Nothobranchius furzeri: one gene and its partners. The protein of the gene in region 1 interacts with the protein of each later gene in a biochemical or structural test. Links are inferred from orthologs where the notes say so. Each region holds a gene or a part of one and is shown in the gene's direction. Other genes may lie near its edges. The genes, in order: tfap2a, BTB/POZ domain-containing protein kctd15 and eps15.

Evidence for each region.
Region 2: the proteins of tfap2a (region 1) and BTB/POZ domain-containing protein kctd15 form a complex in vitro, tested with the Homo sapiens proteins (2 studies listed by BioGRID, with this or other methods). The link is inferred for Nothobranchius furzeri from reciprocal best matches to the Homo sapiens genes TFAP2A and KCTD15.
Region 3: the proteins of tfap2a (region 1) and eps15 form a complex in vitro, tested with the Homo sapiens proteins (2 studies listed by BioGRID). The link is inferred for Nothobranchius furzeri from reciprocal best matches to the Homo sapiens genes TFAP2A and EPS15.

What each region holds. Positions count from the first base shown.
Region 1 is NC_091747.1:57,671,840-57,675,492, forward strand, and holds part of tfap2a (transcription factor AP-2-alpha), read left to right. Parts: intron 1-676; coding exon 677-728; intron 729-1,979; coding exon 1,980-2,205; intron 2,206-2,800; coding exon 2,801-2,919; intron 2,920-3,653.
Region 2 is NC_091749.1:70,105,748-70,109,400, forward strand, and holds part of BTB/POZ domain-containing protein kctd15, read left to right. Parts: intron 1-3,342; coding exon 3,343-3,648; intron 3,649-3,653. UniProt on the Homo sapiens protein: During embryonic development, it is involved in neural crest formation. Inhibits AP2 transcriptional activity by interaction with its activation domain.
Region 3 is NC_091748.1:56,876,980-56,880,632, reverse strand, and holds part of eps15 (epidermal growth factor receptor substrate 15), read left to right. Parts: intron 1-1,451; coding exon 1,452-1,524; intron 1,525-2,137; coding exon 2,138-2,299; intron 2,300-2,393; coding exon 2,394-2,591; intron 2,592-2,817; coding exon 2,818-3,189; intron 3,190-3,363; coding exon 3,364-3,450; intron 3,451-3,576; coding exon 3,577-3,653. UniProt on the Homo sapiens protein: Involved in cell growth regulation. May be involved in the regulation of mitogenic signals and control of cell proliferation. Involved in the internalization of ligand-inducible receptors of the receptor tyrosine kinase (RTK) type, in particular EGFR.

The sequences.
Region 1 (3,653 bases):
TTTGGATTTTTCAACAAACAAACGATGTATTCTTACTGCATCAGAACGTAAAACAAACCCATGCGTAATTCCTTATCCAGAATGATTTTTTAAAAGACATTTTTTTTATTTCTAAGGGCCCCGAAACAAAAAGCTGAGCCTCTCCATGCACAGCGATAACACCATGACACTTTGCAAAGCGCACTAACGAGAGAATTGAGTTTGCTGTATTGAGTTTTGGGACCTCTGCGATCGCTAAAGACGCCTGATGAATGAATGAGCCCTGAGTCCGTCAATAAGCGCAAGCGCGCGCGCTCATTTTGAGATTTTCTCCCCAGTTTTTAATCAGAAACAAACAGCTATAATTCTCTAATTAGTTCATAGGCCTTTAATAGGCTGCACCGCCGTAATTACTAACCAATCTGGATGAGAAGTTCCGTGTGAGGGGAGCCAATCTGCAAAAAGGAGGTCAGGATTATGGGGTGATGTGCTTTCCTTATTTAAGTCTTAGTTCAGATCTGGAAACTCGGATAATAATACTTTATTAATTATAACAGCAGGTAAATAAATAAATAAGGCCTTTCGGTTGTGCTCCTTGTTGCTTTAGCGCTTTGTTCATGTGCAACCTCTTTAAAATCACATGTTTCTGTGCGTAATTCGTGCTAAAATTGCACCTTTTTTTGCATTTGTGTCACAGCCTGTTGAGGATCAAGGAATCCACATTCCCGACCAGACTGTAATTAAAAAAGGTAAGCAATTTCCTCTGAGATATCTTGCATTTTTTTCTTCAAGCTTCTCTCACACACACACACACACACACACACACACACACACACACACACACACACACACACACACACACACACACACACACACACACACTTCCATTCTGCTCCAAAGAGCTCGATGCAATGTGGTAATGCCTGACTGATCCTAATACGCAGCACAGCCTATTTTTCATTACATGCTTTCCAAGTGCATCAAACTGGCTGCACCTTTTTCTTTTTCTCTTTTTTCCCTCCTTCTCCTCCCCGATGATGGAATTTACTGTCAGCGTTTCGGCGCAGCAGGGAGATGAGTGGAGCTGCTGGGGCTTTGGAGGCCTCAGCTATAGATGGTCAAAGACGCGCAGAGACGACCCGGGCACACTTTTTAGGAAGCAATATGCGCAATTACGCAGCATGGATAAATGTAAAATGGAAGCTGTCACCCGCTGGACAGAGCGTGTGTGCAGGATTTCTGTGCAGCGTTTAGGAGAGCATACGAAAATGGGAAATTTGAACTAAATTTTTTTTCATCTATTAATGAATAAATCTACCATGGATTAGATTTTTACACTCTTAAAGGCTCAGATTAATAAGATCCTGGGATATATTTTTGCTTCTCTTCTATATTATTTTTTCCTAAAATTTCTGCAATTTTTCCAAATTTCTAAATTTTTTCTTTCAGACTCAGCCCATCTGCACATTCACGTGATAATTGGCTTCTTATATTAGTAATCTCAAGAGTTCGTTTAGCTCCCATTGTCTCTATTAGGCTCCCTTGAGCCATTAATGTCACAAGTGATCTATCCAAAGGCGCACAGTCCCCCTTTGTCTCCGGTTACTGCGCACCAAAACGGCCTGCCACAACTGCGCGTTCCCCTCCTCCCTCACAACCCCCCACCCCCACCCCCCACCACCTCGGTGTGAAATCACACACGGGCGACGGTGTTTTTGCTGGAAAATGACGATGAGTCAAAAAAGGTGGATTTTATTGAAAAGAGCGCTTTTAAAAATGTTTTTTTAGGCTGTTGGTTCTCACCAAATTATTACTTATTTTATTATTATTATTATTATTGTTATTATTGTTGTTGTTATTGTTATTGTTGTTATTGTTATTATTATTTATGTGATCGATGCAGAAGTTCTTCTTCATTTACTTAAGGCTCTGCATTGCACGAAATTCACTGACCACGCGCTCTCTCTCTCTCTCTCCCCTCCCTCCCCCCGGTCCTATAGGTCCGGTGTCTTTATCCAAGAACAACAGCGTCTCCGCCATCCCCGTAAATAAGGACGGTCTTTTCGGAGGGGTGGTTAACCCAAACGAGGTGTTCTGCTCGGTTCCGGGTCGCCTGTCTCTCCTCAGTTCCACATCAAAGTACAAGGTCACGGTGGCAGAGGTGCAGAGACGCCTCTCGCCGCCCGAGTGCCTCAACGCCTCTCTGCTGGGCGGGGTGCTCAGGAGGTGAGTCTGACTTCACAAAAAAAAAAAAAAAAGAAAAAAATCTTCTTTCACCTGTGTTTGCGTGCACGCGCTCTCCCTCCGGCCTGTGAGCGCGCATCCCTCTCTTTTTTCCTCTCCTCTGTATCAAGAATAATTAAAATCGACCAACCATGACACCTAGCTCCTGCATTTAGAGCAGGAGGGGTCTGTTAAATTCCATATTAACACCCCCCTCCCCCCTTTCAAATTAATGTAGGCCTAGTCTGTTTCAAGCAGCTCTGCAGACCCAGTGAAGGCATTACACATGAAAACATTGGTCTCCAGTGAAATGCCGACTGAAGTGCTGCAGACACGCAGCCAGTAATAGCTCAGCCTATTAACTAGGACTTTATTTATTCACTTTGTGCTATAAGTCCGCTGGTAATCAGGCTGCGGCTCTATTTTGATCGTATTTATTGCTCATGTGCAGATTTGAACGTCTCAACTTCAATATGAAAGCCATCCATATTTTTTTTGTCAATTCTCTGGCTGTAATTTTGTTTTTCCATCATATTTCTGTCAAATTTAGATGAATTCCTGCATATGAATGAATTTCTTCTTTGTTTTTGCGTCTCAGGGCCAAGTCCAAGAACGGAGGGAGATCCTTGAGGGAGAAGTTGGATAAAATCGGCTTAAATCTACCTGCGGGGAGACGCAAGGCAGCCAACGTCACCTTGTTGACGTCACTAGTGGAAGGTAAGTCGTGGTGCCGTAAATCCTATACTTAAAAAAAATATATCCCTTCTCTCTCTCTCTTTTCCTCCCTCTCTTTTTTCCCTCTGTGTTGGAAATCAGCATATGCGCTCATCCGTGTAATGTGGACCGACTTTGCCTCGCAAGTAATAAAGCATGAAGGATGTGTATGTGTGTGAGAGTGTGTATGTGTGTGAGAGTGAGTGTGTGTATGTGTGTGTGTGTGTGTGTGTGTGTGAGAGAGAGAGAGAGAGAGAGAGAGAGAGAGAGAGAGAGAGAGAGAGAGAGAGAGAGAGAGAGAGAGAGAGAGAGAGAGAGAGAGAGAGAGAGAGAGAGAGAGAGAGGTGCTGGTTGTGGCTCTGCTGCGTTATTGGCTTCCTCTTTCAGGAGCGCACTTCCAGGCTGGCCTAGTTTATCCTCCGGATTAATTTGTGTTGAAGTCCAGTTAATTATTGAGTGCTGCTTGTTTATTGGCCACCGCCGAGCTCTTTCACCTCATGGATGAGGAGTCGATTGATTGCACCCTGCATTAATACAAGTCTGAATATAGTAGATTTCTCGCCCTTCTCTATCCCTTGTTTTATTATTTTTTTACTTCCTCCTTTAATGGCTCCCCATGCTTTCTACTTTTCCATCGAAGATTTGTATTGCATGCAAATGCGTCGCGCTGACCTATGGAGATCTATGTTTTGGGCCTATTAAAGAATAAATTAGGCAATTATTGCGAGCAGACGAGA
Region 2 (3,653 bases), on another chromosome or scaffold:
GTATCTTCATTCCTTTTGCCGTCTTTTTTCATTTGATTTTTCCTACTGGGAAGTTAGAATTTCCGAGGAGAAAGTGAACGCACCATTAGCTGATAACAATGGTGGCAATGGAATAATTTATCAAGCTAACGTTATCTTAAACAGTTTATTTAGCTGCTGGAGCAGATTAAAACGATGATGCCTCACACTTAGATCGTTGTCGCTGGTTTCATCTTCACCCAATCACCCGTCGCATTTAGTAAAGTGAAGCCAAACTTTAGAGCGCGTTCATGTTCTTCCAGTGGGAAATTCGGAGTTCAGAGGAGAAAGTGAACGCATCATTAGCGAAACGGAAGCTAACATATCAAGCTAACGTTATCTTAAACATTTTATTTACCTACCGGAGCAGATTAAGATGAGGATGTCTCACTTAGATCGTTGTCGCTGGTTTCATCATCACCCAGTTACCCATCACATTTAGTGAAGTGGACCCAAGCTTTAGCGTGCGTTCTTTCTACCATGCTGCTCTGTTTACAACTGGCTCGCAGTGACCGACGACATAACGCTCTTGCGCATGCGCAGCTGTCTAGGCAAGTTCTCGTTATGAAGGACGGGTACCGAAATGAGGCGCCGTTTCAAATGACGTGAATCGGTGCTCAGTCAGTTCTATGGAATTCGGTACCCATCGTTAGTTACTTCCCTCCTGCCTATGTTTTGAAAGGAGAAAACTGACAATCCAGCAACTTTCCTTCATAAACGACTGAAACATTAGACTCTTTTGTGAAATTCTCACTATATTCTTACATACTGCACCTTTAAAAAACACATTCAGAGACCAGTTTATCCCAACTTCTCTCTTTATGCTTAGAAAATCTACAACCAGGAGCTCGGCTACATTTAAATCACCACAAATATGTTAAAGTGACCGTTTATAATCGCAGAGGATTAAGCTGTCATTCTTTGTCTTTGTGAAACACTAATCAGAACACGGCTGTAATAATTACTGATTGTTTAGCAAAAAGATTTGCAGTGTTTAGGTGTAACTTAATTAGATCTCGTTCTAATAGGAGCTTAACATCGAGCCACAAGCCTCATTAACACAACCCCCCACCCATATGAGGAATACATAAAAAAACTCCTTTTCTGATGATTGTCCTCATGTTCGCGTGCACATATCTCCCTCCTCTCTGTGTTTTCCGTGGTAGCGGTGAATGATGGTGCCATCTGGTCTTGTGGGAAATTAGAGGCAGGCGTACGGGGGCAAATGGCCCCCAGCAAGCCCTGCCCGGGAGTGAGAGGCAGGCAATCTGCTGCACACAGGAATGCACCATCCCACTCCACTGGAGCCCCACCGACGGCCCTCAGAGAGCCGGCTCGCTAAAACATGCTAAAGGCTAGCAAAGCCGAGCGAAGAGCCACGGTGGAGGAGAGGTGCGGCGTGGCGTTTATGGGGAGTGTTGTCCTGCAGGTCATTGGCCCTCACAGCTTATCATTATTGTTGTTGTTGTTATTATTATTTGTCCTTTTGTGAGCGGTCTTATCTTTATTTTACTAGCATTTGTTTTTATTTAAATAAAAATGATCAGAAAATGAAACTTTTTGACGTTTTAAGTGTTTTTTGTGTAAAACAAAAATTATAAATAATTCCTGAACAGCCTCAGTTTAGAGAAACATAGTTCACGTTGCTGCCATCTTAAATCAGCCGCATTCTTAATGTGATGTTATTTTGTAAACATTTTCATCTCCAGCAGCCTCCATGTTATGGGATTATTTAGTCAGAAAAATTAAAGAGCAAGTCACCCCCTACCAGAGTATAACTCAACTCCCACTTCCTGTTTGAAAAATGCAACAAATGCTTTGCCTAGCAGACCGAGAGGGCGGAGCCACTGACAAATACACACACACAGAGGCTCACAACGACTTTGTGACATCATATGGTACCAGCTAACTTTCTAGGGTACCTCTTAGCCAATAGCGATGACATTTAAATTTAAATGCAGTGCAGAGTTTTTACCTGACAACGGCACAACACTGACCGTTTTAGGCAGAAAATGAACTAAAATGCACTAAAGTGCAAAACTACTGACTACACGTGTCTGCAGCACAATTAGACACACATTTATAAAGTTTATCAGGAAAAAAGTTGATTTGGGGGTGACTTGCTCTTTAAGATTTTACTGCTGTACTGACTTTACTCTTTTTATTTCTTTGCTTTAATCAAAGTCTAAATAAAGTCCATGTTGATTTTCAAGAAACTCCTGAAGACTCGGCTCTTCTAAACTAGGACCCTCCCAGCACCCGTCCCCACTCCGTGTTCGCTTCCCTCTGTGATTGATTATGCTGCCTGACTGACTGAATGGTGTTTGTTGTTAGCCTCAAGGGCAGCCGGATGGCTTGATTATCACCTGTAAGTCGCTTTGGACAAAAGCGTCTGCTAAATACATAAATATGCACAAAAGACCAGATGTCATTTCTGATGATTTACAGATGATTGCTAAATAAAAATGCACGTTTAAAGCTTTACAAATGTCTCCAGACCACTAAATGAATCAGAACCGCAGTTAAAATACGGTACACTTTAGTGGTTTTTAACCTGTTTGGATGCTTTTGGTGGCGACAGACTCACAGAAATCGCTTTCATTTGTTTTAGATTTGCATAAAAACGTCTCTATTGGGCTTGTTGTGCATGAAGACACGGGAAACATGATGTCACTTGGATTAGGAGGAACCAGCTCGGCATCAGTCATGCAGATTTAAAAACTCTTTGAAACTTAAAACAGGAACAGAATCACGTGGTAAATTCATCGGAGGGAATTTTCTTGTCCGGTTGATTCATTTTAAAGACAAATCCCACTATAAGTGAGAAATGAAAGCTGGAATGAAGATTGGGACGTTTTTGGACACAGCCACACACTTCGGTCTCTGACTAGCCGTTAGCTTGTCAGTCCCTCGCTCTTTCTCTGAACAGAGTGTTCAGGACTCTCTCTCCAGCTTCTACACAGAAACACGATTCAAACAGCTGAGATACGCATTTAACACCGACGCCGCTGACATCACCGCATGATGTAATGATACTCTCCTATAGCAAAGGTTTGGTTCTCTAACAGAAGGAAATCGGACGATATTCTTTCAAAAGGATGTCGTAGTTCACTGATCCATGACTGCAGTCAGTTATTAGCTCCTCCATGCATACCTGTGCTGCCCAACTGCTTTCTCACTCCTGTAGAAAGGTCAAACGACAGAGGGCCACTGGTGGAGGAGTGACAAAACAGTCCTGAGATGCTTTATCCAGAGTTCAGACCTAACCGGTGCTTGTTCCTGTTAACTCACCGCTCTCCTCTCCGCTCTCGGCCGTCTGCTCAGGACTTCCACCTGCTCTACGAGGAGGCCCGCTACTACCAGCTGACGCCCATGATCAAGGAGCTGGAGCGCTGGAAGCAGGAGCGCGAGCAGCGGAGGATGGCGCAGCCCTGCGACTGCTTGGTGGTCCGGGTCACGCCCGACCTTGGCGAGAGGATCGCCCTGAGCGGCGAGAAGGTCCTCATAGAGGAGATCTTCCCCGAGACTGGAGATGTCATGTGTAACTCCGTCAACGCTGGCTGGAACCAGGACCCAACGCACGTCATCCGCTTCCCCCTCAACGGCTACTGCAGGCTCAACTCCGTCCAGGTAAC
Region 3 (3,653 bases), on another chromosome or scaffold:
ACTTTCACGCCACAACTCCGCCGCTCCCGGTTTCGGCTACATTGAGTGTGACTTCTCGTCTTCTGCGCATGCGGGTCTCTTTGGGGCTGTGAAGCGTTCACACTGGAGAAAGTTTGATGCCGCATGACCACATCATGACCTCCCATGCCTCAATGCTTCACGTCATCTTTAGTGCCAGGATAAGTTTTCAGCAGCAGATGGACTTGTTGTCTCTGTCGCCTTAGTAGTTGTCAGCATGTTACCAACTTACTATTCAAGATGATCAGTTTTGGTTCTCCATTCATGAAAACTGAAAGTGAGGAGTGAAAAATGGTATTCCAGCCCAAACACACACACACACACACACACACACACACACACACTGTATGATGAGGCTAGAAACGAAGGCCGGTGTCGGATCAAAATCAGAAAAATAAGAGGATGATACGTGTTTGCAGCTGCTTCAAATTTTGGCAGCAGCCGTTTGCCCCAAATAAGGACGTTAGTCACCGTAATTATAGCTAAGATCAGACGAGAGCAGACTCTAGAGTTCCTTCTGAAATATTATCTGATGAATTATACATCCTGATGTGTGGTGAGGGTGAGAATATAAAAGGAGAGAGTGGGTTTGACACTTTTATTTTTACCCTGTACTGATGTGGAAGCAGAGAATAGCTGCTGATCCGTTTGAGGTATTTTTAAACGAAGCGACTGGAAGTGAGGCAGAAACGAGAGCTTTGCCTTTGTCCAGAATATCGGTTCACACCGTTCTGTTATTTTATTTTTTTACCTTTTGCATTTTTAACAATTTTACTAACCTAAAACGTACCAGCTTCAGCAAACATGCGGATACAGGAAATAAAACACCTCCTTTGCCTTTATTTTAATATTGTTTTTATTTTTCTCACTCATCAAGGGGAAAACTCACAGCCCAGTCATTTCAGGGTTTCAAAAGTAGGACTGGATAAAATCTCTTGCTGTGTGAAGCGGTGAGGGTAAGAGGAAGAGCGGGTAGGGTTGCACACATGATGGATGTTTCTAGTTCGCTCTTCATGACTCATCTCTCCCTCTCTCTCTCGCTCTCTCTCTCTCTCGCTCTCTCCATCCCCATGCCTCCATCTGTTTCTCGCTTCTGATACCCCGCACATCTTTCTGCACAGGCACACACCGTCTTCCCAACCCTCATCGAGCCAACAGCAGTGCATCACAGAAGTCTTACATATACCTCGTTTTTATTCTACATTTTAAACATTTCCACACCACTGCCATTGATTTTGAAGCAGCTCCTTGATTTGGGAAGGTGTGATTTTTGGGGGCAGGATCATGGTGTTTGAGGGACGGGAGGTGACGGTGTTTGACAGAAGGGGTGAAGCAGCAGACACCTGGCTGTGGCTGGGTGGGGTGGGATTTCCGGGTCCAACCTGTCTGTCCAACATGGCTGAATACTTTTGTTTGCTGTGCTGGACCCCCAGAGAGAAGAGCTCTGTGGAAGAGGAGATCAAGGAAAACGAGGAGGCCATTCGACAACGCAGCAGCGAAGTGCAGGTAAGGTTACATTTTCTGTTGCTGCAGATAAAATTTGTGGTTGGGGTTGGTTGTCTGGCCAAAGCTTGAGCTTAACGTGTGTACGAAGCAAGACAAATTAAAACTATTCCAGAGATATACGTATGTGTTAAAGCTGTTGTTTACTTTAACCAAAATGGAGATGATGGAGGAGGTTAATGATGCTGTCAGTCTACAGTCTGGGATGCTGCTCTGAAATGTAGTTAACATGGCTCAGGTTGCTTTCCTCCTGTGGGCGTGTCTGTTTCCACAGAGGCTGATCGCCTCTATTTTAGGAGCTGCTCTGCTTTTGAGGTTCCAGTCTGGATGTGAGGAAGGATGGGAGGTCTGATACTGATGCGGCCCAACCCCTCCAGCTCTCATTCACTTCATATAGTCACGTATGCCCTAGTCAGAGATGATCCACAGATGCTTCACATAGTCAAGTGTAAAACCGACACTTGCCATGCACGATGAGGCATTAAAATAGTATAAATAATGAAACAAAGACGTGTGTGTTCAATCTTGTTCTGTTTTGGTCTGCTTGTTAAAAAAAAATCTCTCTGCATACTTATTATTTATTCTTTTAAATCTTGTTCTGTGTTTTTGTCTGAAGGACCTTCAGGATGAGGTGGCGAAGGAGAGCGAGGAGCTCCAGCGACTCCAGGCTCAGCGTCAGAAGGTCCAGGACGCTTTGGACGAGCTGGATCAGCAGAAGAGCTCGCTGGAGGAGCAGCTCAGCCACATCAGACAGCAAACTAGCCAAGAGACCAACCTTGTAGGGTTTTAGTTATTGTCACCTATTGCCTACTAAACCGGGGAGATTTTAGACTATTTTATAAATAAGTCAGAACTGATTTTTGTTGTTCCAGATCTCGTCGTTGCAGTCGAAGCACGAGGAGCAGGAACACAGGATAAGTCAGTACGAGGAGGAGCTCGTCCAGGCGCGAGAGGAGCTTCTGGCTCTGCAGGAGGAGAGCAGGAAACTGCAGGAGAAGGTTCAGGCTGCTCAGGAGCAACTCACGCCACTCCATGAGTCCGTCCGTGACTCCTTTACACAAGTTTCGCAGGTCAGGAACTCAAACGTGATTTCTTCGGTGTCGGCGGTCTCAACCTAAGACCAGCTGGGCCGTCTGACTGAAAAACAACTCATCTGATCTCTACATTTTCTAGTTTTCTTTATAATTATTATAAATCTGATTCTGTAGAGATGGAACTTTTTTATTGCCAGAGGTTAAATAAAATACACATTAAATCACCTCTTTTTTTTTTCCTTTTTCTCTTGGTTATTTTTAGGTTCAGCAGAAAGTCCAAGACCTTCAGGTGGAGGAGAGGTCCGTGACTGCACAGCTGAGCTGGAAGAGGGCTCTGGAGGACAGCTCTCCAGTCATGGTGAATGGCTCACCAGGCTCCACAGCAGAACCGGACCTCTTCCACGAGGACCAGCCGAAGAAGCTGAAGGAGGAGGAGCCAGCTGCTGCCTGCAGTCAGCAGAAAAAACACTCAGACAAGAAGGAGAAAGAAGGAGAAGAGAAGAAAGAAGAAGAGAATCCAAAGACTGTGGAGGAAGAAAAGCTGAAACCCGATGCCCTGGATCATCTCTACAATAGTTTTGCTTCCTGCGATTTGTACAACTGTCTGTCTAAGCCACAAGAGGGCGCTGTTGGGGTAATTACAAACTAAGAATTCATTACATTCACTGAAACGCCTATAAAATCAGGTAAACTCCTAAAGTTCAGCAAACAGACATTTCTGTTGTTGATTTTCAAAATTTTTCCTGCAGATTTAATTAAACTCTTTCTCACCTGAGACAATTTAACATTGTTGCTGCATTAAAATCAGCAGGGAAACGGCAGCTTTGCACCTGATGGTTCTTCAGAGATCAACGACGAAGATGATGATGATTCACCTAAAGGCAGCCCGCTAAAGGTCAGATTATTCACACTTCTATCTTCAACCCAGACGCTGAAGTTGATTATTCAAGACAGGATTCATAAAACATGTATAAACTGTAACTGTGAAGATTCTAGTCAGCACCATGTCACCTCCCTACAGGTGGAGTCCCCAGAGCCAGAGAGCAAACCAGAGCCAGCAGACTTGACAGAACCTGCCATCCCCTCGTTGCCTCCTCA